Linked DNA regions of Tamandua tetradactyla. The protein of the gene in region 3 interacts with the protein of the main gene of each other region in a pairwise test. Links are inferred from orthologs where the notes say so. Each region holds a gene or a part of one and is shown on either strand. Other genes may lie near its edges. The genes, in order: FBXO7, BEND7, PSMF1 and RBFOX2.

The links.
Region 1: the proteins of PSMF1 (region 3) and FBXO7 interact in binary tests that used the Homo sapiens proteins (3 or more experiments, as listed by UniProt). The link is inferred for Tamandua tetradactyla from reciprocal best matches to the Homo sapiens genes PSMF1 and FBXO7.
Region 2: the proteins of PSMF1 (region 3) and BEND7 interact in a two-hybrid assay, tested with the Homo sapiens proteins (2 studies listed by BioGRID and IntAct). The two-hybrid records come from large-scale screens. The link is inferred for Tamandua tetradactyla from reciprocal best matches to the Homo sapiens genes PSMF1 and BEND7.
Region 4: the proteins of PSMF1 (region 3) and RBFOX2 interact in a two-hybrid assay, tested with the Homo sapiens proteins (2 studies listed by BioGRID and IntAct). The two-hybrid records come from large-scale screens. The link is inferred for Tamandua tetradactyla from reciprocal best matches to the Homo sapiens genes PSMF1 and RBFOX2.

The regions. Positions count from the first base shown.
Region 1 is NC_135333.1:24,545,973-24,553,729, forward strand, and holds the start of FBXO7 (F-box only protein 7), read left to right. Parts: upstream 1-4,740; 5' UTR 4,741-4,809; coding exon 4,810-5,105; exon of another isoform or gene 5,106-5,303; intron 5,304-5,339; exon of another isoform or gene 5,340-5,469; coding exon of another isoform or gene 5,470-5,506; intron 5,507-7,757. UniProt on the Homo sapiens protein: Substrate recognition component of a SCF (SKP1-CUL1-F-box protein) E3 ubiquitin-protein ligase complex which mediates the ubiquitination and subsequent proteasomal degradation of target proteins and plays a role in several biological processes such as cell cycle, cell proliferation, or maintenance of chromosome stability.
Region 2 is NC_135333.1:49,223,938-49,231,354, forward strand, and holds the start of BEND7 (BEN domain-containing protein 7), read left to right. Parts: upstream 1-4,402; 5' UTR 4,403-4,469; coding exon 4,470-4,530; intron 4,531-6,668; coding exon 6,669-6,752; intron 6,753-7,417.
Region 3 is NC_135327.1:23,019,702-23,027,590, forward strand, and holds the start of PSMF1 (proteasome inhibitor PI31 subunit), read left to right. Parts: upstream 1-4,873; 5' UTR 4,874-5,057; intron 5,058-6,972; 5' UTR 6,973-7,057; coding exon 7,058-7,081; intron 7,082-7,297; coding exon 7,298-7,441; intron 7,442-7,889. UniProt on the Homo sapiens protein: Plays an important role in control of proteasome function. Inhibits the hydrolysis of protein and peptide substrates by the 20S proteasome. Also inhibits the activation of the proteasome by the proteasome regulatory proteins PA700 and PA28.
Region 4 is NC_135333.1:28,467,143-28,474,474, reverse strand, and holds the start of RBFOX2 (RNA binding protein fox-1 homolog 2), read left to right. Parts: upstream 1-4,327; 5' UTR 4,328-4,405; coding exon 4,406-4,588; intron 4,589-4,688; exon of another isoform or gene 4,689-7,332. UniProt on the Homo sapiens protein: RNA-binding protein that regulates alternative splicing events by binding to 5'-UGCAUGU-3' elements. Prevents binding of U2AF2 to the 3'-splice site.

The DNA.
Region 1 (7,757 bases), on a different chromosome or scaffold from region 3:
GAAGGAGTTAAGATCTTAATTCCAAGTATCTGTAGTAGCTAGGACTTAGACATGGAACCTGGGCTCCCTCAAACAGATAAAACTGTATAAATCATTGATTCGAAAGTAATGACTGTGAGGAAACAGGCTCTGCTGGGAGTTTGGCTCTTTATTGGTGCAGGAGGCTGCCAAGGTGCACTGTATTTAATGGTAGTATGGTGGTGGCAGCAACAATGCCAGCTGATGAGACAGTTTTCTCATCAGGCCGTTTCTTCATTGTGGTTCTGAGCTTCATTCTTGGAAGCTTAACCTGGTGTTACTTCTCCAGCCCTCCCAAGAATTCCCTGAGCTATCCAGTATCCTTTTAATTTCCTCTTTTCCTGCTTAATCCAACTGAGTCAGCTTTTATTGGTCACCCTAATGGATAAAGACTCCTAACGGATAAAGACTTTCCAGTGGCCGAGCATACATTCTGAGATGTCTCACAAATTCCTTGCTTAGCCTAAACCTCTTCCTTATTTAGGCTGCGCCCACTTCTGTCCTTTACTCCGGACACACAGAGTCACCCTGATCCTGACAGGGATCCTCAATGCCATATTCCTTCCAATAAAAATTCACCTAGAACACTTCTCCCATACCCACCTTCTCAGAAAGGCTTGATTCATTTGTTTCAGTGGCAGCCTCTGAGCAGGACAGGGGAGTAGTACATGAGATGGCTGCATGTTTCCAGACTACCCAAGCCTAGTCCTATTGCCTCCATTCATGCCTATGAGCTCCTTCACTTCCTTCTAGAGAATCCCCTGTTGCTCACAGTAGTCATTTCTACTGCTCACTGCTAAGGAGCTCTACTGGCACAGAAACCTTCTATATACTCCAATCCTCAGACTGTGCTTGTGTCTATCATAAACAAGACATTTTTTAGGTTCCACTTCAAGAGTTGATTCACTCAAGTGTAAGTCCTGCAAGGGCAGGAACATGTCTTTTTTTTGTCTTTGAGTCTGCAGCTGTGACCATCTGGCACAGAGTAGGTGAATAATAGGAACTTACTTTGGTGAGTGAATAGCAAATTGTGGACAAGTGCTGCCATCTACAGGGAAAACTTCTGACTCTTACAATGTTTTGGAGGCTATCCAGTAAAGGTGAATTTTCTCCCTCCTCGAAGTTATCATCATCATCATCGTTGCTGTCATTAGATCCTCTGTGGTGGCCCGCCTCCAAGATGGTCCCCAAATGATCCCTGTCTATGATGTATTCATGCCTTTGGACTGTCCTTCCCACACTGAAGGGTTGGTCTGTGTGACCAATAGAATGTGACAGAATGATGGTATGTAACTTCTAAGGTCTATATACTCCAACCCTCAGATCATAAAAGACATTGTGGCTTCTGCCTCAGACCACCAGGGATGAGGGAGACCAGCTGCCACGTCATCAGTATACTCAAACAGCCCTGTGGAGAGGTTCATGCATCGAGAAATGAGATTTCCTGCCAACAGTCACGTTAGTGAAACATCTTGGAAGCAGATCTCCAGCCTGAGCTGACATTTCTCACGACTACAGCCCTGGTCTGCATTTTGGCTGCAATCTCATTAGAGAACTTGAGCTAGAACCACTTAGCTAAGCCACCCCTAAATTCCTGATCCATGGAAACTGTGAGATAATGTTGTAAGCTGTTAAATTTGGGGGTGACTGTTACACAGCAATAGATTACTAATATACCCTCTAACACAGATTGTTACCACTAATCAAGGCTCTTTTTTTTTCTCTAACAAGAATTTGTTGGCTCATGGTTTCAGAGCTGCTTGATCAAGTTTGCACAATGTTTTAATCTTCTTCCTATTTATACATGCATTCCTTAGCTGAATTTGACTTCCAGATAAACACCTTAGGTCTGAATCTTTTTATTCCCCTAATTAGATATGCACCCTTTGCCACTCCCTTAGCTGGACGCTTGTTTCTTTACATCAGTCAAAATGAGGACAATATATTTTGCTTAATTCACAGGAACAGTATGAAGACCAAAAGAAAAATGTATCTGCATTTTCTCAAAAACTATAAAAGCTTATATGAAATAGGAGAGAGCTCTAATAATTTACCTGATGCCTTGCCAGGTCTGCTTGTGGGGAATTGTGGGTGTACAATTATGCCTGTATGTAGGGGAAGAGTGGCCCTTTACTAAGATATTTCAGGCTCATACTATTATCACCATCCCTTTACTAATGAACTTTCCAAGAACTTGGAAAGCTGAGTTTCCATTGTACTGGAAAGTCATTTCCCCTCTCAGATGTCCAGGTTAAAAAAAAAATCCTTCAAGAAATTTTATATGCATACATAAGTAAATATATGTTTACATATACCCATAAAAACATGAATGCAATATTATACAATTGTTCTGCAATTTTTTATGTTAAGAAAACTGCAGAATCATTGTATATTGGATCTTACATATATTATCTAATATATATTGGCTTACATTATTGTTTTATTAGCTTCTTAGATTTCATTGTATACATGTACTACAATTCAACCAATTTTCTGTATATGAACTTTTCTTTAGAGGAACAGGCTATACCATGTAACATTTATAGAAGGCATTTAGCATAGTGGTTAGAAATTTCAGTTCTATTTTGAGACAGGCAATGACAATATTGCTAGCTGGGTGTCCTTAAGCTATCCAAGCTTAAGTTGGTTATCCAACTGAAAAGCCAATCAAGAGCGGCCATCTCCCAGAGCCATGAAGACTAAATGAAATTATGCATGCAATGTATCCGGCATAGAACTTGGCACACAGGAAGCTTTCAAGAAACCCTTTATTAGTGATCCTTGAAAAATTGCAACCCAGCCTATTAATGCTGCTGGGTGTTTTACTGTTGCGGTTGTTAGCAACTGAGACCAGTAAGAGATTGTGATTTCATAGACTGAGGAAGTCTATAGATTGAAAATATTTTGAGCGTTTTATCACAGTGTACAGTACTATTGGTACTGCTTTTTTCTCCTTCACATCCTGAACCTCTGAAGGTGGGCCCTGCATCTGGGAAATTGAGGGAGTGAGATTCCCAGATTTCAAACTGTGCTGGGGCAGAGTGCTTGGAAAGTAAGGGGGCGTATCTCAGTCCATCCTCTCTTATTGAGTTTATCTGTTGAATATATTAAGCTTTCATACAAGCTTTAGTTTTATTAACTTCCAAGGCAAAAAGAGTTTGAAAAACCATTTGGGTTGATTCATTAATTCTTTCCTTCATTCACCATGCATTTCTTGAGCAATTTCCAAGCCCAGATGACTTCAGATGTCTATAATCAAATGGGGGCATATAATCCAACAATTACAACAGTGTCCACCTTATCCCATGAGTTTTTTTTCTTTTTCAAGCAGTTTTATTGAGACATAATCATACACTATACAAATCAATCCACAGTATACAATCAGTGGTTCAGAATATCATCGAGTAATTGTGCATTCATCACAATAAATTTTAGAAAAAAAATCTCATACCCCTGATATCCCACTATTATTGACCCTTATGAAATATGAAAGAATATTTTTATACTTTTAATTATTAATCACAGACGTCATCCACCACAGGGTTCACTGTGTATACGTCCTATGTTTTATCCTCCAGCTGCAATTTTTTTATTTGTCTTTGCACTATTTATCATGCACATCTTATAATAGTGAATAATAATTTTACCAATTTACCCTATTCCTTTTTGTGTCTGTACAGCATTTTATCATAGATATATCATATTTAGCCATTTCCCTTTGGTAATTCATTTCCAGTTAGTTTTTTCGTTTTATTTTTTTCTTTCTTAATTAGAGAGGAAAGTTACCCCATGAATCTTAAGCGCTGTAATATCGAACTTCTTACAGCTACCCTGAATATGCCTGCTATTTGGCTTTTTTTTTTTTGCATCTTTTTGTATACACCATTGCTTGCAGACTCTTGGAAAGTTCCCATTTATACTTTAAAATACAATTTAAATACACTTGCTAACGCCTTAAGTTCCAGTTAACCACTTCTGTATCTTGTACTTACTTCCACTATTGCATTTGTTATATGCACTATAACATTTGTTTTCTATTTGGTGAGAGCAGGGACCTGCCGTAAACTCTTCTGCCTTCCCAACTGTGGGTGCAGGGTCAGAAGGACATTATACAACAGGGCCTACACAGTATTTATTTTTAAGATATTCATTTATGGTATAACATATGCTAAGGTCAACACTAGGCGGTAAACAAAACAAACTCGGTCCTCGATCCACAAAACTCATGTTCTTGTGTGGGAAAACGCCAATACAGAAATTAGCAAATTAAAAGAGAATTCCAGATGATAAATTCTAAGGAAATAAACAGCGCGATACAGCAGTTACTGGGGAGACCAAAAATGACAGGGCTTTGACATAACGTTATACCATTTAATTCTTCAGCGCTGCGGACCCACAAGAGGAGGTCGCTACCTGGTTTCGCTATACGGCTTTTCGGAAGGTGCCACTGCAACTGGGCGTGGAAGACCTGATAGTTCACCACGCAGGAAAGGAGGTAAAAACTGGTACACACGTCCTTGGGAAGTGGCACGTTACAATGTCCACAGCATCATTTTCAGCACTGTTTTTCTAGGCACTTCTGAAAGGAATCGAAAAAAGCCACGTAAACTAACAAGCCTAGATCCCAGCGCCTTGTCGCAATCTGGGCGCTTGCGCAGTGTGCTCCTCCAGGGTTGCGCCCTTGCGCGCCGAGTCACCGATCGGGAGTCCCGGAACCGCGGAGCTGGGCGCTGGCCGCTGGCCGCTGGCCGCCAGCTGCCGGCTCTCGGGGTTGTCTCCAGGGGGCGCCCTATGGAGAGGCGGGGCGTCCGCCCTTGCGGAGTTTTCTTTCCGTTACGCCTCAGCACCCCCACAGCTCCGGAAGTCACCGTCCGGGGCCGCTGCGCGGGACGGGAGCTGTTCGGCCCGTCTGACGCCACCATCAGCGCCTTCGAGTTGAGCCCCACCAGGCCTTCGGCCGCCGCCATGAGGCTGCGGGTCCGGCTTCAGAGGCGGACGTGGCCGCTGGAGATCCCGGATGCAGAGCCGACGCTGGGGCAGCTGCGCGCGCACCTAAGCCAGGCCCTGCTGCCCACTTTGGGGTACAGGTACGCGGGGGCGAGTCGGGGGCGGAGGGCCGGCTGCGATACGGGTGTGTACTGCGGGGAAAGTGTACTTGGGTATTTTTTGGGGGGAGAGTCCGCGCGCGTTGCGCTCTAGACCGCCCGTGCTCCTTGCGGTTGCTGGGCGCCGCTGAGTGCTCCTCTAAGGTGCTCAGCCGTCAGGGGCGGTCACGTTAGTGTCCGCTCTCCGGGGGCGTGGTCGTGCTTAGGCGCATCTGGGTCTGTGACGCGCCGAGGCCGGGGCAAGTTCGCCGAGGAAGGGCCCGGGACCAGGGCGGGAGTTCGCTAGAGGAGTAGTGAGCGGGACGCCGGGGCTACTGCGGGCGGGGGGTCCCGGCTCCAGGAGCTCATGGCTCAGCCTGCCGGCGGCTCGGATCCCCTCCAGGGTAAGGAAATCGATTCCGTCTTTAAAGTAAACGAAGCCATGGCTAGGATAGAATGGAAAATGCACACGATGTTTGCATTTAAAGTTGGAAATTCTGAGTTTGGGTTGGGTTAACCTGTCCATACTATAGGGCGTTTAAATTCAGTTTCTTCAGCTGTTGGGTGTTTCAGTGATAAACTTTTGGGAAGAATACTAGTAGAAGTCAAAAATCTGCCCTCTATCATAATTCACCTGTTATCTGTACTGCAGCTGTAAAAGCCGTAATAATTATTTTTAAGAGTAGGTTGAGCATCTGTGTGGCAGCTACGTCGGTGAGCATTTTCACTTATCCACTGCAGTTTTAGAAAGTTCAGCGTGCAAGCTTGTTACAAATCGTTTAATTTTCCTGGGGGAGATTTTGCTTGTTTGCTAAAACAGAGGTGAACTTTGGCCTTAGGATGACCCTGCAGAGTTTCAGTTTTCCAACAGTGAAGTAGAGAGATTTTGGTACTAATTTATAGGGTTGCTATTTTGTTTTCAGAGGTATTTTTTTTGGCAATCATCTGGTAATAGAGGGACAAAGTAAGGAGGCTTCTTTTCGAATATTGAGCCGGTGAATTTGAAATTTATGAGTTTGCTAAACATTTTAAAAAAATATTACCTGGGGGCTTTTTAGGTGAATTATTCAAAAAAAAAAAAGAAAACTTTTATGTTAATTTCATTGAAGCGGCTTATTTCCTAAGACTTTTTTAAGCTTCTAGTTTATTTTTAGGGAATTCATTAAAGTTAGGCCCTATTATGAACTCCTCACTCTTTCATTCTTCAGATTAAGACATTATTAGATTAAAAGTAAGCCTGGTTTTCTCCAAAGTAAAAAAAATGAGGAGGTATGGTAATAACTTTGAGCATTATGGTAAGTGACGTGTCTGTTGTTATTTCTTGGTATTAAACCTAAGTATTTTGGTTCCTCCTGTCATTACCATAAATTTTCACAATGAACTTTTCTTTTTAAGGTATTTTCATAAGTATGTATAGATATTTCTTTTAAGTAGGTAGGGCAATCTTGAAAGGATGTGAAATTCAATATGAATCTACCCGAGAGCCTAAGTTAGTTTCTCTTTCAGGTTTGTTTTCACAATTGAGGCTGGTTGACAGGAAACAGTTTAAACTGCAACTTGTGAAAGTAAATTCATTTTTTGGAAAGTATGTTCATTTTATAATAAACGAGCAGTGTTAAAGCATGTACAAATGGCAGGTGTTATTTTTTAAAAAGTGTCTTCACAGAGCAAAGGGATCCGAAATTGTCATAAAATATCTTGAAAAAGTCTGGAGTTTCTAGTTTCATTGCCTGTTTAACTTTTGAAATGTTAAACTAAAATTATTTTTTGTTCCTGTCTATGCACCATTTCAGAAAACAGAATCATTTTTAACCCTCTCCCTGGAAAACTACATATTACTTCAGGAATAGCTTTTTCTTTTTTCAAGGGGGCAGGGAAGGCTGGCATATTTCTTAAGTGCTTTACCTTTTCTATGAATAGAGACTAGATGTTTGAACATGCATTGTACTAGATACTGTTAAAAAACTTTTGTTGTGACAAATGATCCATAAACACGAACAGTTCATGAGGTGTTTTTCTTTTCTCTGCCAAAGTTGGGATGTTGTTTTTCTGGGCAGCTGGCAGATTCTGAACATTTTGTTTATCAAAGCATTTTGAAAACAGCAGCAGAGCTGCTTGTTTTCTGAGAAGCAGTGGTAGTTTCTACTCACACTGCTAGTAAATAATAAGCTTAGTAAGTTGCTAACTTTTTGCTAATAACTAGTAAACTTCTAGTACTTTCTCTACAAAATACACTTTTAATTGGTAAGAAGAAGTATGTTTGTGTGTGGAAGAAAAATGAATTATTTTGAGCACTTTTGAAAATATGCTGCATTGTAAGAAAGAAAAAACAGAATAGGATTTTCAAAGAACTTCATCCTTTGTTAACCTCTCAAAAACTTAATGAAAGAGGTATTATTGGCTATAACAGTCTTATAAAATGTTTTACACTTTTTGTTAATTATCACCTCTGTATGATGAGACGATGGTTATACTCACAAGGTCAGATAATCGTGATGCACAGAGGATGGAGAGTTTGTTGCTTCAGGCTTATTTGAGCTCTTAGGTTATTTAGCAGTGGGTTTTTGAATTTGTACTGTCTTCCATATGAAAGACATCATAACTCATCATCAGTAGAAAAGAGGACCTGTACCTGCCATCAGTAGTGGGGGTGAT
Region 2 (7,417 bases), on a different chromosome or scaffold from region 3:
TCACTAGTAGAAAACTTTAAATTACATATATGACTTACCGTGCATTTCTTTTGAACAGCAGAGTGGTAAATAAAGATGGAAATTTTCATAATACCATTTCTTTCAGTACAGAGCTTCCAGAAAGAGAGTTTTAAGATTTAGGGTCCAGACTACTTAGTTTTCTAGCCAAATTACTTGTCTTTGTCAAAAATTAAAACCTGCGTTTAATCTTTAATCTATTTGTAATTGATTAAGTTTTAGAATGGTCATATAATAAGATGCTCTGCCTTCATGAACTCATGGAATATCTGAACAGTTTTCACTGAGCTTGAGTAATGTATAGACCTGTGATTCTAAAACTTTTGAGGGCTTTGGATTATTGAGGCAAAAAAATGACCTAAGTGGATCTCCGACAGGACCTTCCGAGATAGCCCATAACACAAAAGCTGTATTAAAAAAAAACCTTACCTACCACTTCATGCAATCTCATATTTATTAAATATCATAATTCATCTTTACTTCATACAATTTGTGTATATATACATTGATGTTATATAAAGTGATGTTTGTGTGATTTGCACAAAGTAGAGAGTAAATAAATCGCTGTTGATTTTCTCTCTGTAAATAGGACAATCCCTGAACGACTGGGCTCTGCAGACCATCTTTGGAGAACCAGATAAAAGGGTCCAGGGAAAATGACTATTGTTTCAAAATATCATTTTTTACAAATATTTTATTACCTTTATCCAAACTAGTCTGTTCATTACATGGAATTCATCTTCCCACTTGAACTGAATATGTTAAGTTGTTAATATCTTCTCCAGGGATTTGTTTCCTGGTATGACACCTTCAATGATTTCATCATGGATTTAGGCTAATAAACTCTCATTTTATGTTCAAAAGCATGAAAGTCCTCACTGTTCCTCAATCAGTATAGTACTTGGCCCTGTGGCTTTGAGGATAACTTTTTTTTTTACAGTTTGTATTGTGAAATATAACATCTATACAAAGGAAAGAAAGAAAAAGCAATAATTTTCAAAGTACACTATTACAAGTAGTCACTTGTTAAATTAGATTTCATAGGTTACCATTCCACTATTTCAAGTCTTTCCCTTTAACTGCTCCAAAATAATGGAGGCCAAAAGAAACATCAAAACAATGATTTAGCAGTCATACTCATTTACCAAATCCTATTCCCTCTGTTATAACTCCTCTCTCTCCCCCACCTCCCTCCTAATCTACAGGGATCCTTGGACAATGCCCGTTCCGACTTTCCCACGTTGAGAAGGGGTGTCCACACTAAAGGATAGGGGAATGTAACTGGTTGATAATCTTAGAAAGGCTGGTCCCTCTGGGCCTCAGGACTGATCTGGCCCAGGAACCCCCGGGAAATTATAGGTAACAGGAAAGGAAACTTAGTTCATGAAACTTTTATTGAGCCCCAGTCCGAGCCTTAGGTGCTCTCAAGATTAAGATTCAAGACACAATAAACAGGTGGGCCATGGTGGTTCAGCAGGTAAGAATGCTTGCCTGCCAAGCCCGAGGACCCGGGTTCGATTCCTGGTGCCTGCCCATGTAAAGAAAAAAAGAAAAAAAAAAAAAAAGACACAATAAACCTCTCTGCCTTTGGTCTTACATAGCAGGTAAAGGTCTAGAGTATATACACTATCATCTATTACCCTGTATTCTGATTCACCTTAGTCCTGGCTATAAGCCTTTGTCTTTATCTCTAATGGAAGGTTGATCTCTTTTTTGCTTACTTTAACTGTTATTGTATGTAGCTGTGCTAACATTCAGGGCTGCAGAACTCCATTTCTGAGTCTTACGTTTCACAGAGTTACTCAAAGTTCCAGGGAAATATCAGTTTCATATGGCTCAATGTCTCAGAATCTAGAAATACACTCACAATTTCAGACTAGGTGTGGTTCCTATAAGGTCTTACAATCTAGGCTCCAAATTTCTTATAAGTATTTTCTGAAAGAGACCATAGCATATTTGTTCTTTTGTTTCTGGCTTATTTTGCACAACACATTGTCCCCAAGGTTTATTCAGTTCATTGCATGCCTTACGACATCATTCCTTTTTTGTAGCCGCATCATATTCCATCACATGTATGTATCAGTTTGCCATTCTGCTTCTCAGTCATCGTACCCTTTGGCTTCCTCCATCTATTAGGCATCATGGATAATGTCCAAAATAAGCAAACCACATCTTACGGTATCCTGACTTGGTTATACAATCAACAGCACTCTCAATTTTAGAGTTTTCTTTGGTCCATAGAGATAACTGACAAACACAGCCTCAACCAAATATCAAATCAAAACTACCCGTTATCGCTTATCCTTTCCTCCCTCTAATTAGTTGCCCCTGGTAGTGCTGTGGTACAGCTGATGTCTTCCTGTTAACTATTGGCCATAGCATGCAATTTTAGTTTTCCCCCATATCCCTCTATTATTGACTCTGTACAATATCAAACCTTTGAAATAGTTCATCTGAGAACTTATTTATAATTGTAGAGTTCATCAGTGGGATGCACGGCACTATACATCCCTTTCACTCATATTCACCTTCAATATGGCAATGTTACTTATAATTCCACTAATTAGTTACCATCACTTCCATGCATTCTTTGAGGATAACATTTTTAAAGGCATGGCAGAAAGGAAAGAAAGGATCCCAGCCAGGGGAACAGAACAGTATGCATTTTCCCTTAAAGAAACATTCAAAACACAGTCAGATTTTCATTACTTGGTTTTAAAGCAAGAGAAAACAAATGGGAGAGAACCAAAAAGGATAGTTGATTTCATCACTTTAATCCTTTCTCCACCTTTTAGGGCTCCCAGGGGTCTAAACTCAAAAAAACCTACACAAAATTTCCTTGGTCTTCTATACATGTTCTGGGGAAAGGGCCCACAGCTTTGAATATCAACTCCACAGACAGTGATCAAAAAGGCTAAGAACCTCATTTAAGGGTTTGCTTTGGCAACTGACAGCCTATTCCCTCTCTTCCAGGCCAGGTACACCAGCCTCCGCACCAACTAATACCTCATGATTTGGGCCCCAGCCTCCTTCCACTGGTTTATTGGTTGGTTACCTTGATCCTCGGTTTTGTTTCTTGGTGCTTGTATGTTTGTGCTAGCCTCCAACTTTTCCTTTCCTTGGCAGTTGTCTCTTATTAACCCAGTGGTTAATAAGAGAGGTCCTTGAGCAGTGGTCTCATTTTGGTGGGATTCATCATGGAACTTACCACATTTATCAACATACCCTGTCCCTTTAGGGCCACGGGAATTTGCCACAAATTCAAATTTGTTGTTAGGTGGCCTACCTCTTTACTTCCTTTATATTTTCATCCAGAAGTGGTCTTTGGTGGGGGGGGAGAGTTACTTGTGAGCATGTTCGGATAGCATTGCCGGGGGTGTGAAATTCTCTCTCATTCCCTCTCTAAAGATGTTGTGAGAAAGAAATGGAGCCTGCAGGGGCTCTTAGCTCCCAAGAGAAGTTCATATAAAATTAATGAAAGGTTTCTATTTACGCCAATCGCCTGGAGGTCCTCAAACCTAGTGGCAGATCTCCTGCACCTGCCCTGACCCTTCCTCACCTCCTCCTCCCTCTACGGCCGGCAGGGCAAGTTCCCTCCCCGCATCCAGCCCCGTGGCTTCCACACCCCTTCTTGTACCGGATACAGAATCGGAGCCCACTCCCGCCTATCCGCTTCTCCTCAATACGTTCCAAACGCTCTTTTAGTTTTCTTGCACAGCGCACATTGGGAAGTTTTTCCTAAAACTTGCCCAGCAACGTGTGCGGGGCCCGCTCCATTCCAGAAGGGTTCTCGGCCCTGGGGGCGTCGTGACCACCAGGCCGGCCCGGGGGCGGTGGACTGCAGAGCTGACCCAGGCCCGGGGCCCGCGTTCAGGGGCGGTCCGCACAGGCCGCCGTCCCCGGGGAGCGCCGCGGCCTCCGCCTCCGCCTCGGCGGCCAGGCCGGCGGGTGCGGGCCCGGGCCCGGCGGTCGAGAGGGCGGCCGCCAGCAGGTGGCCCCGGGGACCGCGGCACCGCCTCCCGCCGCGCCCCTCCTCCCGGGGCCCGCACCCGCCGCCGCCCTCCTCCCCTCGGCCCGCCGCTCGGCCGCCCGCCGCGTCCCCTCAGCGCCGCCTCCCCGGCCGCCGCGTCCCCGGGGCCGCCTCCCCTCCCTCCCCCGGCCGCCGCCGCCGCCGCCGCCGCGTCAGTCCGGAGGCTGCGCCCAGCGAGCGCCCTGAGCCGCCGGCGCCCTCCGCCCGCCCCAGCGCGGCCGCCGCGGAAAGTTCCGCTTCGGATCCGCTTTGAAAAAGGAGAAATTGGACGGGGCCGGGCGTGCTCGGGAGCCGGGGGCGGCGAGGAGGAGGACGGCGCCTCTCCCCAGGCAGCTGCCTCCCGCCGCGACGAGGGCCGACGCCGCTCGGGCCGGCCGCGCGCCTTTCCTCTCCCCGCGGACCCGCGCCGCCCGCCGGCACCATGGAGTTCTCCGAGAGGAGGAGAAGCAGGAAATCGCAGAGCTTCAAACTGGGGAGCCGAGGTGAGGGGGCCGCGCCGGGGTCGGGACCCGGCTGGGGTGAAGCGTTTCGGGAGGGTCCGGACCGGGGTCCGGGATCTGGGGACCCGGGGCGACGCGGACAACCCTGGGCCCCGGGCTCCCTCGGAGGCCTCACCCCGCGGACCCCCAAACTCCCTCCCGGGCTGCGGCTGGGGGCGGGGGCCGCGGGCAAAGTTGGCGGGTGGGGTGCAGGTATGCGAACCGTAAACAGGCCCGAGGGCAGCGCCGGGGGCAGACAAAGCCTGGGCCGGGGACCCCGCGGTGCCCTCGGGGTGCGGTCGTCCTCCCGGAGGCGACGGGAAAGGTACTGGAGGCAGCGGAAGCAGCACAGCCCGACTACGAATTGTGGCCATCCTACATCTTTCCCAGCTCTGTGACTTGGATTGGAAAGGTGTTCTCGAACAGATCACTTACCGGTCAGACAAGTATCGTAAAAAAAATAATAATAAAATAAATAAATAAGATCCATCTAGTCCCTGGCGACTTAACAGGTGTACACCGCAGCCTTTGGGCTTGAGCTCTTTTATTAGAGGAGGGCGAAGTGGAATAGAGCCTTGTCTCTGTCTGTTCACCTACTTGTTAGAGTGTTTATTTTCTTGATGGGACTTTTTAAAAAAATGATGAGGACGAAGCGTAAGAACAGGCTTAAAAATATATCCGTGGAAATGCCTCGTCTCTTCTTCGGCGAGACGCAGTTGACTTTTTTCATTGTAGTGTCCACAGGTTCCAGTATGTTCAGAACCATCCTATTTCAGTGTCTTCTTTGCATCAGCTTGAGGTCAAAACAAAGCCTCAGACGTGTCTACTTTCCCTCTGGTGTCTTATCTAGCAATGGCATCCGAGTACAGAGCAAACCAAACCTGTGTTAGCAACCTCGGAAGGGGGGAAAATTAGAGGACTGTTGCAAGTCATAGAGTTTCTCAAACTAAGCTAACAGTAGTAGAGATTCCACGAAGCCTGCTTTCACTTTGTTTAGAAATGGTTTGATGATAGACATTTCAAAGATCTACTCATGTTTGTTTTCCCTCAATTTTGTTCCGATACTGCATAATGAAAAGGCCTAACATGGTTTTACCTATTGAAAATATTTGGCTCTTTCCTCTTTCTGTGTAATTTTTTTCCCCCAGCAGTGTGGAATACTCAGTGACTTGAACTTTAAAAGTCTCTCCATACACCACTAGCCTCTTGGAGTGATCTGATTCATTCAGGCATGTGGGCTGCTTTATTTGTGACCTCAGATATTGCCTTATCTTAAAGGTGACAGTAGTTCTGTAGAAATTGGCCTGGGAGGATTAAGGCCAAAAAAAAAAAAGGAAATAGCTGTTAAGGCGGCACCTATATTCTCATAGCTAAATGACCCTATTTTTTAGAAATAGAAGACTGCCAAAGCTCAGGAGCCTCTGCAGAGAGGCTTGTAAAATATGTATTTTGAAGTTTGACAGAGCTAGTTTTTCTTTTCTTTCTTTTTTTAACTTATGGGCCTGATTCTTTGCTCTGCAGGTACATTTTTAGAAAATAAACATATTAAAGTGCAGAAGCTGAATGGGAAAGATTCACTTGTGTGAAAGATGAAAATCTTGCTTTCTTATCCAAATTATGCTAGATTTGAAATAACAAATCCGTACTTGTCACGTGTACTTGCCTTTAAGCTGCTTAAAGACTGCGATTTTTCAGATAAACTGAGAAAACAGTGTCAGGCAACCCTGAAGCAATACTGTTGCTACACCTAAAAGATGGGTTGTGGAGATAAGTTTGGAAACCTCCTGGGCCAATGAATGGGCAAGATTTTTCTTTTCTTTATAAACATATTTCTCAAACGAAAGAAAAGAAGTCTAGTAATTAACATTTGTGGGCAAATTTTACTGTGTAAACAGTGATCAAGCAAAGCTGTTTTCTAAAAGTAATGTTTCAACTTTGTGTACTTTCATCAGAATAGGCAAAGTTTTTTAGAGATTGTTATTGACTTTTGTCAACTTCCGTGGTTAACTAGTTCTTGAAAATTATATAAATTAAAACAGAGATTATGATAGTCTAGATATGATGAGAGTCTAGCCTTTAGTGCTTATTTAATATCTTGCAAGTCATTAGAATTCTAATTTTTGGTTGTTTTCTCATCCCAGATTATCACCATGAGGTGTATAAGATCTCAGAATTCAGCAGCGATGTTAATGGGGAGGCCAAAGAGACACAACCCATTTTTTTAGGTAGGTTTTCATGTCAGTTAATTTCACAGCAAAGCAGTGTGGCCATTTGCAATTAGAGGGGGAAAAAAAGATTGTGCTGGAACGGGAAATGTCTGCTATTGCTGAATGTATGACATTCTTTTCAAGACCTTTTATTTTACAGATTGCCAATATATCCCTTATTAACATTGCTAAAAGTTGTAATTTCAGACATAAATGTTTATTAGTGTCTACACACAGTGCTAATTATCACTCACTCTCAGAGCCAGATGCTGAGTGTGCAGTTTCATGGCTCTGCGCTCACCCCATTTACATTGCATATTCGCTGGCATGCTTCACTGGCAATAGTTTGTGTAATTGGGGTATTACATCTTTGACATCTGGATAACAGAAATTCAATTTCCAGGAAGCTGCTATTTGTTTGGTTTTGCTTCTGCCTTGGGTGGGTTAGAGGATTAATGTTCTGTCTTATTATAATGTCCCTTCACCTCTGTGGCCTGCTTGCTAATCCTGCCATGACAAAATTAAATTAAATCTACAGTCAGAGAGCATAGGGAAAATAAAAGTGTGATTGCCGGCTTAACCACCTCTTGATGGTCCTAGGTATCACCAAGTAGCTCTACCTCATTCTTCTGGCTTTGTGTTCATTTCACATCAACTTTTTGGACTGAGAAAACAGACATGCT
Region 3 (7,889 bases):
CCCGGCTCTGTGAGCAAGGTGGAAACTATGGGGTTCTGGGCGGGGCTGGGGTTTGCGTGCCAGAGGGCTAGACCTCATCCCGGCTGTGTCCCTGGCATCCAGTTGCCTGGACCCGCCACTCCCATGCTACCTGCCCACTAGGACTTTTCCAGAGCTGCTTCAGCCTGGCCAGCCCGGCAGCCGCGGAGCTCCCCACAGACTGGAGGGAATCGAGAAGGTATCATCCAGGAGGTCAGCTGGGCCAGGCCTCCTAGAGAGAGAGGGCCTGACCGAGGTCCAGTGAGAGTTAGAGATCTACTCAAGCCTTGAAATGAATCACAGGTGTTGGAGGGAGCAGACAGACCTGGGTTTTCATTCAGTTTGCACTTATTTTCAGAGTGGCCTCGGGCCAGTCCTGCCACCTTTGTGAACCTCCCTAATCAAAGGTTGTAATATCTCTCCAATATCCGGCTGCTAGGAGGATGAAGGAGCAACACACACAAACAAAGAAGGTGCCTAATCAGCACCATCCCTCAGCCCGTGGCTACTCCCAGTGAGAAAAAAGAGAGAATAACAGCTTTTTATATGCACAGTCCCATTCTAAGCACCTACCTGTGCTGGCTCATTTCGTCTTCACCATAACTCTGGGAGGTGACAGCCGTATTTACAGATGAGGAAACTGAAACCCAGAAAAGTTGAGAAACTTCCTTCTGAAGACATCTGGTTAGAAATGGTCCCAGTCAAAGTCTGGCTTCGAGGCCCATCTCCAGACTGATGGACAAAGAAGTCTGGAATCTCAGGGCTGAAAGAAACTATAGAAAAAAACTGGGTATAACAGTGGAAACCTGTAGCACACATCCCAGCTGTCTGAGTCTAGCCTTCTCCTTGCCTTTGGGCTATTTTGCACCTCCTAAATTGTAGGTAGCTGGTAGATATGCAGAATCTTGTTGGGTTGAATGGGCTTCTTTTCTCATTGTGGAAAAACTATTTTTGTCTCCATCTATCATTCAACTTCTTTACTCCTATAAATTTGGGCTTTTCTTACATTTTTATCTTTCCTTGGAACTGGACTGGTTTCCTCATTGTTTAACAAATAAAATCAAATATCAGACATGTTTGTTTTTAGATTAGCGTAAGAGTCATGATTTCTATCTTTTTCAGAAAAGCATCATTTAAAGAATCTTAGAGAGGAATGCCTGATGCTTGTGGCAATAGTCCTGGAAAGCCTCCTCCTCTAGCCCTTGTTCTCCTTCAGTGCTCAGGACTCAGTCCTGCCATGTGTATTTCCTAGATGATTCTCACACAGATTAAGTATCACCCCTCAGTTTACAAATAAGGAAATTAAGGCACAGAGAGGCAAAGCAATTTGACCAAAGTTACACAGCAAAGCTAACTCTTCTAACTCTCCCTCTCTCTCCCTCTCCCCACTCCGTGTATGTGTGTGTGTATGTGTATGTGTCTTACCTTCTGGGCCAGATTATAAATCCAGCTCTGACTGGAGCCTGAAGAATACATTTGGAAATGATTTGGTGCTTGATGGGGGAGTCAGATGATGCTGTGGTTAAAAGAGCAGGTTTTGGGGCAGGCAACAGTGGCTCAGCAGAGTTCTTGCTTGCCATGCCAGAGACCCGGGTTCAAATCATGGTGTCTACCTGTGTAAAAAAAAAAAAAATGAACATGTTTCAGAACCCATGCTGGGTCACTCAATCTTGAGGTACCCAGGCTGCTGCATTCCAGTTGGTGGGGTCTTTGGCCAACCAAATCCTAAAAAACAGTCCAGGCCTACATGGCAGCCCACTTTTGAACCTTTCTATATTTTTCATGTGAGAAACTTGCCCAAGGTCATATTCATTCTAAGTGATGGAGCCAAGACTTGAATCCCAAAAAGTCTGACTTGAGACCTTGCATGCTGAAGCCCTCAATGTCTGAGTTTTCTCAGCTGTGTGAGTCTGGGCAAGTTACTTAACCTCTCTGAGCTACTTAATCTCTCATGAGAGTCATTAAGAAAATTGAATTTGATAATGGGAGCCAAGTGGCAGACACATGGTAAGTCCTCAGTACATAGGAGCTGCTACCCAACGCCTCATTATCTCAAATAAGGAACCACCTTTATATGGGCTCCTGCCATATGCCAGGCAAGGTGGACAGCACTTCACTGACATCATCTCCAGGAAGCCGCCCAGCAACCCTTGGGAGATACTGTTGCAATCCCTATTTGACAGAGAAAAATAATTTGTTTGCCTGAAGCTGCACAGTGAGTAAATGATGAGGCTGAGATGTAAACCAGGTTGCCTGACTCCATTATCTAGACACTTTTCCACTCTGCAGTCATTAATTTATTCATTCATGCAACAAATGTTTATTGGGCACCCGCCCAATGGGGCATCAGGGCTGGAGCTAGACGTGGGGGCAGGGAGGGCAGGACAGAGGACCAAGTCTGTGAAAGGATGGATACAAAGATGCCTGCCGAGGGAAGTGGGGGCCCTGGGAAGGAGAGTGGCTTCAGAAACCAGCAGAGCAAACCTTCTGTGTTCCCTAGGACTCTGGTTCTCTAGGGCTGCATCTCCCAGGGGTCAATGATGCCTAGAGCTAAAAGGAGGCTTGAAGATTCTGACTCATTGCGGACAGAGAACTGCTGGAGAGCTTCCAGTCTGGGCCGCCTCTGCACTACCTGATGGAGTGAGTCCGGGTAGAAGGAGAAAATGTTTATTGGGCACCTCGCCCAGCTGGGCTGCTCTCTGTGGGCATTTGGGTGGGCCCAGGCGCCCTCTTGTGGCCTGCCTTTGCTCTGCATGGGCCCTCCCTGTGTCCCTGCAGATGGAGAGTCTTCCCATGCCTAGATCTTTCTCTGTGCCAGCTTGGACCCTTTTGCCTACACCTTTCCCACCACCAGCCGAGGTCTGAAAAACTGTCCTAAGTTTTGGCTCTCTCGCCTCCTCCGAGTACACCGGCACAGACACATGGTAGCAGCCTCCCTAATCCCTTCCTGGTGAATGTGGAGCTACTAGGACTCATGACAGGTAGACCTAAAATGGTACAAGTGCTTTGGTAAAGATCGGCAGTTTCTTTTAAGCATACACTACTACCATATGTCCCAGCAGTTCCACTCCTAGGGGTTTACCCAGGACTAATGAAAGTATGTGACCACACCAAGACCGGTGCATGCCTGTTTATAGCAGCTTTATTCATAATAACCCCAAATTAGAAACAATCTAAATGTCCATCAGTAGGGGACAGATAAACTGTGGTGCATGTGCACAATGAAATATTACTCAGAAATAAAAAGGAAGATTCTGATGCACACAACAGCCGATGACTCTCAGGCACACTGATGAAAAGAGCCAGCTACAAAAGAACACGTGTCAATCATGGAGGGGTGCCTTGCGACTCCCTTCATTAAAGAAATTGCCCATCAGGTTTGAGAAGCGCAGCTAGCTAACAGCCTTAGGTTGCAGCAGCTTTGCGATAAAAGGGGAAATCTTGGAACTCTGTGGGAAATCTTTGCACTGGAGTTTTCTACTCCCTGGGCAGGCTGAGACTCTCAGAAATGCACCAAAGTCTGAGGTTCCTTCCCCCTTGTTGCAGATTGAATCATGTCCCCCCACAGATACGTTCAGGTCCCAGCTCTGGTCCCGTGGATGTGAGCTCATTTGTAAACACGATCTTTGATGATGCTGTTGGTTAAGGTGAGGCCAAACAGAATCTGCGTGGGCCTTAATCCGGTATGACTGGAGTCCTCAAAAGCAGAGGACGTGTGGACACAGGAAGGAGGAGGAGGAGAGAGACGGCCATGTGACAGAGGCAGAGACTGCACTGTGATTGCCGGCAAGTCACCGCCAGAATGCTGATGACTCTAGAGAAAAAAAACATGACTGCCAATGCCTTGACTTTGGACTTTTAGCCTCCAAAACTAGGAAACAAGAAATTCTTGTTACTGAAGTCAACCAGTATGTGTCACTTTGTTACAGTAACCCTGGCAAACTAAGAACCACCGCCCCCCCCCCCCCAGCTCTGCTTTCAGAGGTGTCAGCCTGCACGCTGCAGTGAAGCTTCTCCCTGTCTGCTCCTGCTCTGTCTCCCCTTTTACATTCACAAGCCTAAGACCCGATCAGTGTAGCACTGCTAACTTCATCTGGGCCTCTGCTTCACGAGGCCCCCAACTGACATACACATCTCATCTGTATGAAATCCTAAGAGGGGCAAAATTAACTGATAGAGACAGAAAGCAGATCAGTGGTGGCCTGGGCCACATGTCAGAGAGATCGACTGCAAAGGGACCTGAGGACACTTTCAGAGCGATGGAAATGTTCTTTATTTTGATTGTCATGATGAGGTCCCAGGTTTATCATTTGTCAAAACTCACCAAATTGTACAGTTAAAATGGGGGCATAGTATTGTTTATAAATTATACTTCAGTAAAGATTATTAAAAAAAAAATCTCTTCCTTCTGGAACTATCTAGAGGGCATGGTGGTTACATGAATTTTTGCATTTGTTAAAACTCAAGAGAGCTATGCATTAAAGAGGGAAGGCTTTACGTATATAATTTATAGCTGTAATTTTAAAAATAGAGAAGAAAAATAATGAATCAGGAGAATAACAATTTTTCCTGATTATCATGTGATTTTTATTGAAATAATCGTCATCTAGAGGAGGGAGTGTTAAAAAGTTATCTGCTCCAAGTGTCAAATACGTGTCTTGACAGTACCAGTTTAGCCATTTGGTGATTAGCAAAGAACAGGATCAGTCCCGAGGGCTCCCTGGAAGAGGTGAGGGGGTCAGGCTGATAGGAGAGGAAGGAGGCCCACCTCAGCACATTCTGGGCCCTGCTCCCCAGCTCTCCTCTTTACTGTTTCCAGGGAGACAGGTTGGAATCCCCACATTGCTGTTACTCGGCAACCTGGAACTGGTGGCTGTCGCCCCACCCCCCAAGTTCCTTCCATCATCTGGGCTCCCGTCTCAGACATGGCCTCTGCGCTGCCCAAATAGGGGGGCCCAGCAGGGCAGGTGCCTTCCACCTGCTCCCATTCCCAGCCACTCCAGGCCTCCCCGGGCAGACTGAGACTGTTGCTGATGTAGGTAAGTGCACAGAAAGGGCTGGATGGGCCAGGGGCAGGTCCCAACCTTTGTCCCTGAAGAATCCTCCCACCCATTGAAGACCGCAGGGCCCAGGGAGGGCTGAACAGGGGCCCGGTGCTCAGGTGGACTCACAGCCCAGTGTGGGAGCAAAACTCACCTTGTTCTCTCAGGACACAGATGCCCGTGCCTGCTCTGTGCTGGCCACGGGTCACACACCTGACGAGGGCATGGCTCACCCTGAGAGCAGGCACAACAGATGCTGCCGCGCCCCACTCACCCCTCAGCAGTCACCCCAAGAACCAGCAGTTGCTTCCCGCGAACTGTGCAGCTCCACATGTCCCCAGGGACAGCCCTGCACCTGTAGCAGACAGGGGATGAGTGAAAAAAAGACCCCAGTTCCCTCGCCCTTAGGTGAGAAAACTCTGAGCTGTGTGCTGTACCCATGCCCATGGAGGCAAGGGGTTTAGGCACACACCCTCTCTTGGCTGCCTTCCCTCCCCTGCCAGGCTTCCCTGCTCCCCCATTGGTATTTCCTGGAATCGGCTCCTAAATAAACCACATGTACTCACACCCCTGTCTCAGCATCAGCTTCTGGGAGAACCCAGATGAGACAAGGAGGCTGGTGTATAACAGAGAACCGAGTCCTGGGAGGTGCACTCTATATGACTACTTGTGTGCGAAGTACTGGCATACCAAGGGGCTGGGTGCTGGAGGAGTTGGTGGGAACCTACCCATGCGCAGGCAAAAGGGGGTTATTTTCTATGTGGTAGGCAGAAAAGACCTTTTCTGAGGCTGGTAGGAGGTGAGGGAAGGAGCTGCTCGATATGAGGCAGCAAACCATGCTGATGTTTGGGGAAAGAGCATTCTACAGAGAGAAGAGCTCATATGCAAAGGCTTGGAGAACAGAACATGAAGAAGAGGGAAGCTGGTAGGAAGCCAGGCGATTGGCCAATCCTGTGATGCTGGCAGATCAGACCGGGAGGAGGCAGTGGTCAGATTTAGACCATACTTTGAGGCTAGAGCCGACCAGCTTTGCTGTTGGATCAGATGTGAGTGTGACAGAAGGAAGAGAGCCAAGTTAATTGCAGCCAGGAGTACAGAGGATGAGGGGACAGTGGGAAGAGATGAGGTCTGAGAAATACAGGGCTGAGAGAAGACCATGGCAGGTCCCTGCAGACCATGGGAGGACTTGATCTTTCCTTTGAGTGTGATGGGAGCCCTGGTCTTGAGCAGAGGAGGCCTGTGGCCTGACTTATCTTCTAACACTCTCTTTGGCTGCAAAGTAGAGAACAGACATGAGGGAACAGGGAGGGAACGGGCCAGAGCAGATGCTGATAATCTAAGTCATCCAAGTGAGAGATGCTGGCATTTTACAGCAGAAGACTGATTGGGACAGAGAAACTAAATTTATTTAAGTAAAAACAGTGAGTGGATTTTAAGAAAATTGTTAAGAAAATTTGAACTGTTAAATACCACAAAATAAATGATTTGAAGTTTGGAGGCTCCAGCTCTGAGGAGAGCAGCTGTGTCCCCTTGGGCATGTAGCTTCAACTCTGAGCTGTTTTTGTCGTCTGCAAAATGGGGACAATATGGAACAAAACTCGTACATTTGTTAAGAGGATGAAGTAAAGATTTTTGGCACAGGATCTAGCATACAATAAGCACCTACTGGGTTCTAGTACCATCGCTGCCCCTCAATGACTGGCTGTGTCACTTTGACCAGATTACCTCTCTGTGCCCCAATTTTCTCATCTATAAAATGGGGCTATCATTAGTTGTAAAGATTAAATAAATGAATACAAGTAGGACATTTAGAATAATTGTGGCGCGTGGCAAGCAATTGGGCACTGCCCAAGTGTCAATTATTATTATGAATATATTTAAGCCATATCTCCTAACCTCTTCCCCTACCTAGCATATGCCTACCCCATCTTGAGGACAGGAAGTCTGTGGCTCAGTGCAAGGATCCTGAGGCCTGGAGAAGGGGATTCCAGCTTGGAATGGCCGCGCCTCCAGCCACCCAGGTCCGCGCCGGCCGGTTGCTCTCGGGCGGAACCTTAATCGTCGCGCTCCAGTTCCCAGCCGGGCGCGCACACTGTTGCGCCGGCACTCGCAGCTACTTCCGGGGGCTGCGCCGGGGAGGCGGGGCCGGGACGAGCCGAGGGGCCAAGCTGCGCTGTCACTTCTCAGAGGGCCGCGGTGGCTTACAGCGTTCTTGCTCTTCCTTCTCCCGCCCGCAGAAGCCGCCGTCGCCCATGGCGGGATTGGAGGTGCTGTTCGCGTCGGTGGCGCCGGCCATCACCTGCGCGCAGGACGCGATCATCTGCTTCCTGCACTGGGAGGTGGTGACGCACGGCTACTACGGCCTGGGGGTCGGCGACCAGGTAGGCCGCGGAGGCGCCCCGGGGCCAGGGCGGAGGGGAGGCCCTCTTCTGCCCAAACCCGGAGGACCGGAGGCCGGAATCAGAGCGCCTGACACCTCCCTCTCCAAGTCCGGGGCCTGGGGCTCGTGACACTTTTGAAATAGCCTGCAGGCGGGACATGTTCAACTGTCCCAGCCCAGTGACATTTACAACACAGCTGGCACAGTATTATTTGTTAACTCAAGGGCAGAAGCTCCCTTCAGTTCGGTCTTTCAACCCCTCACTCCAAGATTCCGTGGCCCTGGCACCGAGACTTCGGGTGTAGTTCCCATGAGCACGTCTCTTCTACCTGAACCCCTCTCAACTCCTTACTACATATCCTGGACGGGTGGGGAGGGCGAGCCCTGTACACAGAAGCCCTCATACTGGACTTGAGTTTCCAACAGACATCTCAGTCCAGGCACGGGTA
Region 4 (7,332 bases), on a different chromosome or scaffold from region 3:
ATCATATAAACAAGGACAACAGGAATAGTACTAGGAGCAAAAAGGTCTAAGTTACCATTTATTAAGTGTTTCTATGGGCCAGATGTCATGCTAAGTGTTTTACATGCATTATTTAATGCTCAGAAGAACTCCAGGGGGAGATACTATTATTATCTTCGCTTTACAGATTCTATCAGTTAGAAGTTGAGTTTGGCTGCATGTGGAAAACTACCTACAGAGGCTCAATCAAATGGGAACTTATTTTTCTCATACAACAATAAATTAGACGTAGGCAGACTTAGGCTGTTATGAAGGCTCTGCAATACCATTCTTAGTACGAGCTCTTGACCTCATGGAGAAAAGATGTCTGCTGTTTTTCCAGTCTGTGTTCCAGGAAGAAGGAAGGGTGAAAGGCAAGAGGCAAAGGATTAAGGGCAAAAAGCAAAGAGCCTTTTCTTCCCATGGTCTTTCTTATTAATTAGGAACAGTTACCAGCTTCAGTGACTTCTACTTACACCTCCAAGGCCAGAGCTGTGTTACATGGCCACACTTAGCTAATAGGAAGCTTGGGAATTCAATAGTCGTAAACTGGCAGACTCCTGCCCTGAACACAAATGGGGTTTCAATAATAAGGAATTAAGAAGAGAATAGATAATGGGCTGGCTGCTATCAGTGCCTGTCAAACAAATGTAGAAGCTGGGCCTCAGAGAGGCTAAGGATTTTGTCTGAGCTCAGGTATATGAGGTCAGATCTAACCCATGTCTATTTGACACAAGAGTCCGTGTTCTTGACCACTAGGAGGGATAAGCAACTTACCATGATGCATTGCAACTGTTTTTTTTTTTTTATTTGTTCATCTCTTCCTTCCCTAGACTGTGAATAAATTTTATGGTACCATGATATCCTAGACACGTGCCCATATTTCTCAAATAAATGTTATCACTGTAGTCGTTTTTGCAGCTAGAAATTCTTTCTAGGAAATATGTTTTGTCTCTTCCCCTTTAATATTTTATAGGCACCTGTCTTTAAACAGGTAGTTTCAGATTTACATAAAAGAAATGATATTGGTCATTGTGCTGCTCTGGACACACATGGCCTCTTGCACTATTGTAGGCTTCTATTCTCCATTTTCTTAATGTTTGTTTATGGGGCAGACTCCATTTTCCCTTTGTTTTGCCTGGTCATTCAAACATTTCTATACTGCATTGCTCTATTTCTTAGGGATTTGAGAGCTACTTGAATAACATAATAATTTGAGTCATAGGCAGTCCTGATAGTAAGTCTCATTTCTTGCAGGGTTATTGGGCAGCTCAGGAAGGACTTAGCATCATTTAGATTTCAGTATTTTGGTAAGAAGGTAGGGAGGGGAGAAGAATTCTTTTTTTTTGGAAGTGTTTTTCTTTTGTTAATTTTTTTAAATTTAAGAATACAAATACACTTAGAACCACCAAAAATGTATATCTTACTTAGCTTAACCGTAGGCATATTTAAATAAAGTATCCATATAATCATTATAAAGCCTGTGTTTGTGCAGTAAGTTTCACAAACCAATTTAAAATTGAGGCAACAAGGAAAAAGGGAAAAAGAATTCTTAAGGCACCAGTTCAGTAAGTAAAATTTTCAGAAAACCAACCATTGATGTCTCTAGGTTTAAAAAAAAAATCCATCATTGTTTCACAGACCACCAGGAAACATCCTGATTTTTCTTCAAAGATATAATACTTAGTTGGATGGGATCAGGCCCATCTGCTCTAGGGTACTGTCAACAGAAGACCCCTGACTTAGAATGGGGATGTCTAATTCAACTCAAGTACAAATTTTTAGGCACTTGAACTTCCAACTTGATGGCCCAAATGACCATATAAAGACATGTCTGGGCTTTTATTTCTAACCCCCTGGCCCCCTGGCCAGAAGCTTAGCAACACTAAATAAATAATATGATAAATAATTACCACCTATTAAACAGTTATTATATGGTAGGCTGTGTGCTAAGACTTGTACTTGTTTTATTTAACAACAATGTGACTATTATAATTGCCATCTTACAAACGAGCATTTGAAAGTTTATTGAAAATAAACTGCCCAACATAGTAGTTGCACCAAGGGAAGCTTTGTTCACCCCACCCCAATCTCTAGTGGCCCCACCCAAGCCCCCTCATATAATTAAAACAAAACAAAAACAGTGATGGTCATAGTCTTTGATTTTCACAATGGGCATTTTTTTCACTGTCATTTAAAGTGTGAATAAAATAATAATGGGAATAATAATAGTTAATATTTAATGAATGTTCACTATAGATCACGTCTGTTTGAAGTTCTTAATATGTGATATCTCATTTAATCCTCACAATAATTCTTTGAGGGAGATACTATCATTATCTTAATTTTCAAATGAAACTGAGAGGTTAAGTCATTTTCACCAGGCTTCCTTGTTTTTAAGCAGCAGAACTAAATCTTGGCTGTTGTTATCGATCCATAACACACAACCTTAGTAAAACAATGTGTTTACTGTGACAACACAGGTTCAAGACAAGTCCTCCATTCCTTCCTCCCACATTGGAGGCCTTAATTCCTCCTACATAGAACTTTTTAGTTGCAAAAATACATGGGCACTGGGTCCTAAGGCCCAGTTCAAACCTGGGTTGGTGTGACTCCAAAACAGGAAACTTTACCAGCCCTCTACGATTCCACAATTAGCCAGGTTTAAACCCAAGTCCAAAGGCCAAATTATAGACCCATCTGGAAATGACCCATCTGGAAACCCAGAGTTTCTCAACCTTGGCTGGATAATTTTGGGACGGATAAGCCTTTGTTGTGGGTACTGTCTTGATGATGTCAAGCAACATACTTGACTTCTACCTATTAGATGCCAGCAGCACCCAATTTAACAACCAAAAATGTCTCCAGACATTGACAAATGTCCTGGGGCTGGGTGAGTGGGGAGGGTGGGGAGGAAGGCCAAATCATGCAGCTGGGGTCCAAAGAGGTGAAATAACTTGTTTAAGTTAGGTTCATTGTAAACCTGTAAAGTAGAGGACACAATAGGCAACCCTGGAAAAATAGATGCTGTCCTGGTCTTTACAGTCTGGTAGAAGAGAGATGCTATTGTACAGATACCTCTAATTGCGTAAAGTTGATAAGCAATAAAGTGCAGGCAGCCAGGTATAGCGAAAGAATATGACCTGGTGTCTTAGGATCTGCCGCTTTTTAGCTGCAGGACTTAACCAACCTTCAGATGCGTCATCAACGAAACTGTGATCGTGACAACTACTCTGCCTGTAATCACTATATCGGGTCTATGAACGCATTGTGCAAACTGTTATGCTCTTAGAAACAACAGGTATTTTTATGATTATCCGGAATATGAAATTTGTTATTAGAGTAAATGCTCTCAGAACTGGGGAGAGCCATGTAGTGATGGTCTTATTCCTTGACCTTCCAACCGGAGAGTCTCATTCTTCTAAGGGAGAGGCAGCAGGCTAAGAGCCTTCTCCCACAGAACGCCCTTCTTTCCTAGGGAACCAGTGTGGCGAAACCGGAGAACTGAGGTCACGAATCTCTGCACTAGTCCTACTAGAGAGCAGCGCTAGCCGGCCTACGGGTCTCTCAAGCCCCACCTGCCTTAAGCTGAGGCCCCGCCCCTAAAGGGAAGACTCTGGCCCCTTCGCGCAGATACGACTCCAGCCTCCCTGTACCTCCAAGATCGTTCCTCACCCGTACCGGAGATTCCCGAATTTCCCCGAGCTATTTCCGGTTTTCCTCGGGCGGCCGGGGCGAGGGCGACGGAGATTGCCGAGAAGCACTGGTCCCGCCCCCTCGTGGACTGGGCCGCCGCCGCCGCCGCCGCCGCCGCCGCCCCAGCCATAGCCTCCCGCGCGGGCTGGAGTCCTACATCCAGGTCCCTCCCTCCTTCTTTCTCTCTCCCCGCCTTCCCGGAGCTGCCACAGTGGCGGGTCGGAGCATCCCGGCCAGTCAGCTCGAGCCCCTCCTCCCCCCAAATAAACACCCCTCCCCACGCCTCGGCGAGCCGGACCGCCCCCTTCCTCCCTCCGCGAGGCGTGCGAGGGAGAGTGTGAGTGAGCGGGTGCGGGCCGGTGGGCAAGCTTCGTGAGTGTGAGAGGCGGGGCGGCGCGGCGGGCCAGGAGCGGTGTTGCGAGCGTGTTGGTGGGCGGCGAGCGAGTGCCCGCGGCGAGCCGCGAGCGGCCCGGAGCAGGGCGCGGGGCAGCGAGCCGCGGAGCCTGCGAGCGGGAAGCCGCGACCGCGAGCCGCAGAGGGGCGCCGGCCTGCCCGCGCGCACGCACGCACGCACGCGAGGGGGGCGGGGGCAGGCGCGCGCCCGCCTGTCGCGACAGTCGGGGCCGAGGCCCAGGGGGAGGTGGCCTGTCGCGGGTCGCCCGGCTCCCGGAGGCGAGGGGGGCGCGGGCGGATGGCGGAAGGCGCCCAGCCGCAGCAGCCGCCTCAGCTCGGGCCGGGTGCCGCTGCCCGGGGGATGAAGCGGGAGTCGGAGCTGGAGCTGCCGGTGACCGGAGGGGGAGGAGACGGAGCCGAGCCTGGCCTGAGCAAGCGGCCGCGCACAGAGGAGGCGGCTGCCGACGGCGGCGGGATGCAGGTGACCGCGCGGGACGGGCACCCCGTTATCGTGGGTGTGCGGAGTGGGACCTGAGGGGTGGCTCCAGGCTCCCGGGGCTTGGAGAGGAGGAGGGCTTTCGGGGGTCTTGAGCTGGAGGTGGGAGGGGGGCCGGTCGAGGCCTGTTTGGAAGGTGGGGCGAGCTCTGGCTTGGAGGCGAAGGGTGCAGTAGGATCCTGGTGTGCCCTGGAGAGTCCTTATTCCTGAGGGGACGAGGAGACTGACGAGGGAATAGGTTTTTTGGGGAAATCCAGAACATGGTTGAGATGGATTCCATTTTTCATAGTTTGCTAGGGTGGAGTGAAAGCCGGAAAGCCTGGGTCTTTTGCCTAGAGGAGAGCCGCTGGGCTGAATCGAGGACGAGGGGGCAGGGGTGGAAAACCTCCCGAAAAGGAGGAGTACGTTTTTGGCAGCCCTTGACACATACTGGGATGAGGCTGGGGAGAGGCTTTTGAAGGAGGTGAGTGAAAGGCGAGAAAACTCCTAGAGAGAGCCGAAAGGGGATGTGGCTTAGATTGTGGGTTAAATCAGTTACTCAGCGAGTGTGAAGTGCAAGGAGTTTGGTAGTGTTGTGGGGACACTGTGATACTAAGCCTCGTTAACTTCGTGGAGCATGTTAATGAACCTGAAGAGAGACACAAGAAATGCTTCTGCTGTGCTTTGCCAATTGCATCCTACATAGCCAGGACACGTGAAAGGTCTTTAGTACCCTGAGGATATAAAAGAAAATTTATAGGACTGTTAGAAGGCTGGATTCTGAGTTGTGGACTCGAGGATAAGCTAGTTGATTTAGAAATGGGAAATGGAGTGACGATGTCAGTGTCTTTGTAGGTCTTAGTATTTGGTCTCCATTCAGAAAATACTTGCTTTGAAATGATGGGGCTCAGGTACCAACGATTGTTTAGAGAACTGCCTAATTCTCTTAGAATCATAGAATGTTAGCGATTAGAAGGAACCAGAACCATCATCTTTTCCAGGGGTTCTTACCCTGGATAGATTGAAGAATCCTTTGCAAAATAGTGTACGTATACTTTTTTGGGGGGGAGAGCGTCAATAGTTTTCATCTTTTTAAAATTGTTTATGAAGATTCAAGTCCCAAAATATTTTGACCACCTCATTTTATAGATGGGAAATCGTAAGTCCAGAGAGACAACTAGCAACTTACCTAAAGGTATCAGTTAGCTGATGGTAAAGCTAGAATATTACTTTACCCTGGTATTCTTATTCCTATTCCTGTGTCTCTTCATTTAACTACTCTTGGAAATCTGTGCAATGCTAAAAGACTTCCTGTGTTTTCCTCCCTGCTTTTCAAGGCTCTGCCTGACTTCCTGTGTTGGTGAAGGAGCTGTACTTAGGCCTGGCATGGTTGCTGTATGCTTCTTGGTCTTCTTTGCAGAGGCTTCTTCTTTGCAGAAGTATTTTTACTTCTTTTGGTTTGGATATAGTGACTCTCTTGGTGTTTATTTTTGAATTCGTTTGTTTTGTGTGCCTGCTTTTGTTGCCCATTAGAATTTTGTCAGGCAAAGGGATTGTGAGAAGTAAAAGCTCAGGACCATGGAAAATAATAGAGAGGAATATGGGGAGACTTAAGGTGAGGTGGATTAACATTGGATGGTAAGTTGGGGGACACTGGATGTGGGTCCTGGTGAGCATGTTTTGCTTGATGTGTCCATTCATGAATGTATGTATTCTTTTATTGTTTCTATCAATCATAGTTAATAGGGGGAATCTCCTTCCTCCCCTTTCCTCCCAGAGCTTATTATTGGCCGGCTGCTTTCAAAGTGGCTAAGGACAATAGTATTGAGAAATGGAGTATTGTAGGACCTTTAGGGGTATACAGGGGAAGGAGTGGATTAAGTCCTTTGGGCACAAATGGGCAACTTAGAACTATTCCACAGAGATCCTTTTTTTCTCTCTGGTATTTGTGGCTGTTCTTTATTTTTCACTTCGCACATTCTCAATATGCAGTCCCATTGCAATGTGTCACACAGATTTTCAAATCATCGTTGATGTAGCACCTTACCTTCAACTAGCATGGTTTTGTAAAGATCTCTTTGTTGGGGACTTCTTTTTTCCTTGTAAAATAAAGTGTTTGTACAGAATGATTTCTAAATTACTTTCCAAAAAATATGTCAAGTTTTCTGTCTAGATTGCGAGACTAAATGGGTGAACGTTAAAAAAATGGTATATATGGTTTTCTTTTTAATGTTCCAGAGGAGCAGGAGTAGAGATATCACAGGATAGCTATATCACATGATATTGCATAATTTAGAGCCAAAGGGTACAGAGGATTTATGGTGTCCACTGGGTCCAGGAGAAAGACATGGTCAAGAAAGCTTTGGTGAGAAGTTTGAAACTGAGATATAATAAAGAAGAAATAATATTTATGAAAAGATGATGTTTAAGCCTAGTACTACACTTCTAGGATTTTCTGATACCATTCTGATAATAGTGAAGGGATAATTATTATTCATTTATTCAGTCAACTAATGTTATTGAACAGCTGCTGTGTGCCAGGTTCTGGTTTTATACCTAGGAGACATGGAAGTGAACGAATCAAAGACCCTGCTCTCATGGAACTAATATTCTAATGGGAGGAGATAGATAATAAATAAATCAACAACTTTTATTAGTTAGGTGGTAGTAAATCCTAAAAAGAAAAATAAAGCAGGTAAAGGGATAGAGAATGAGGGAGAGATGGTCAAGAAAGGTCTCTCCAATAGGTG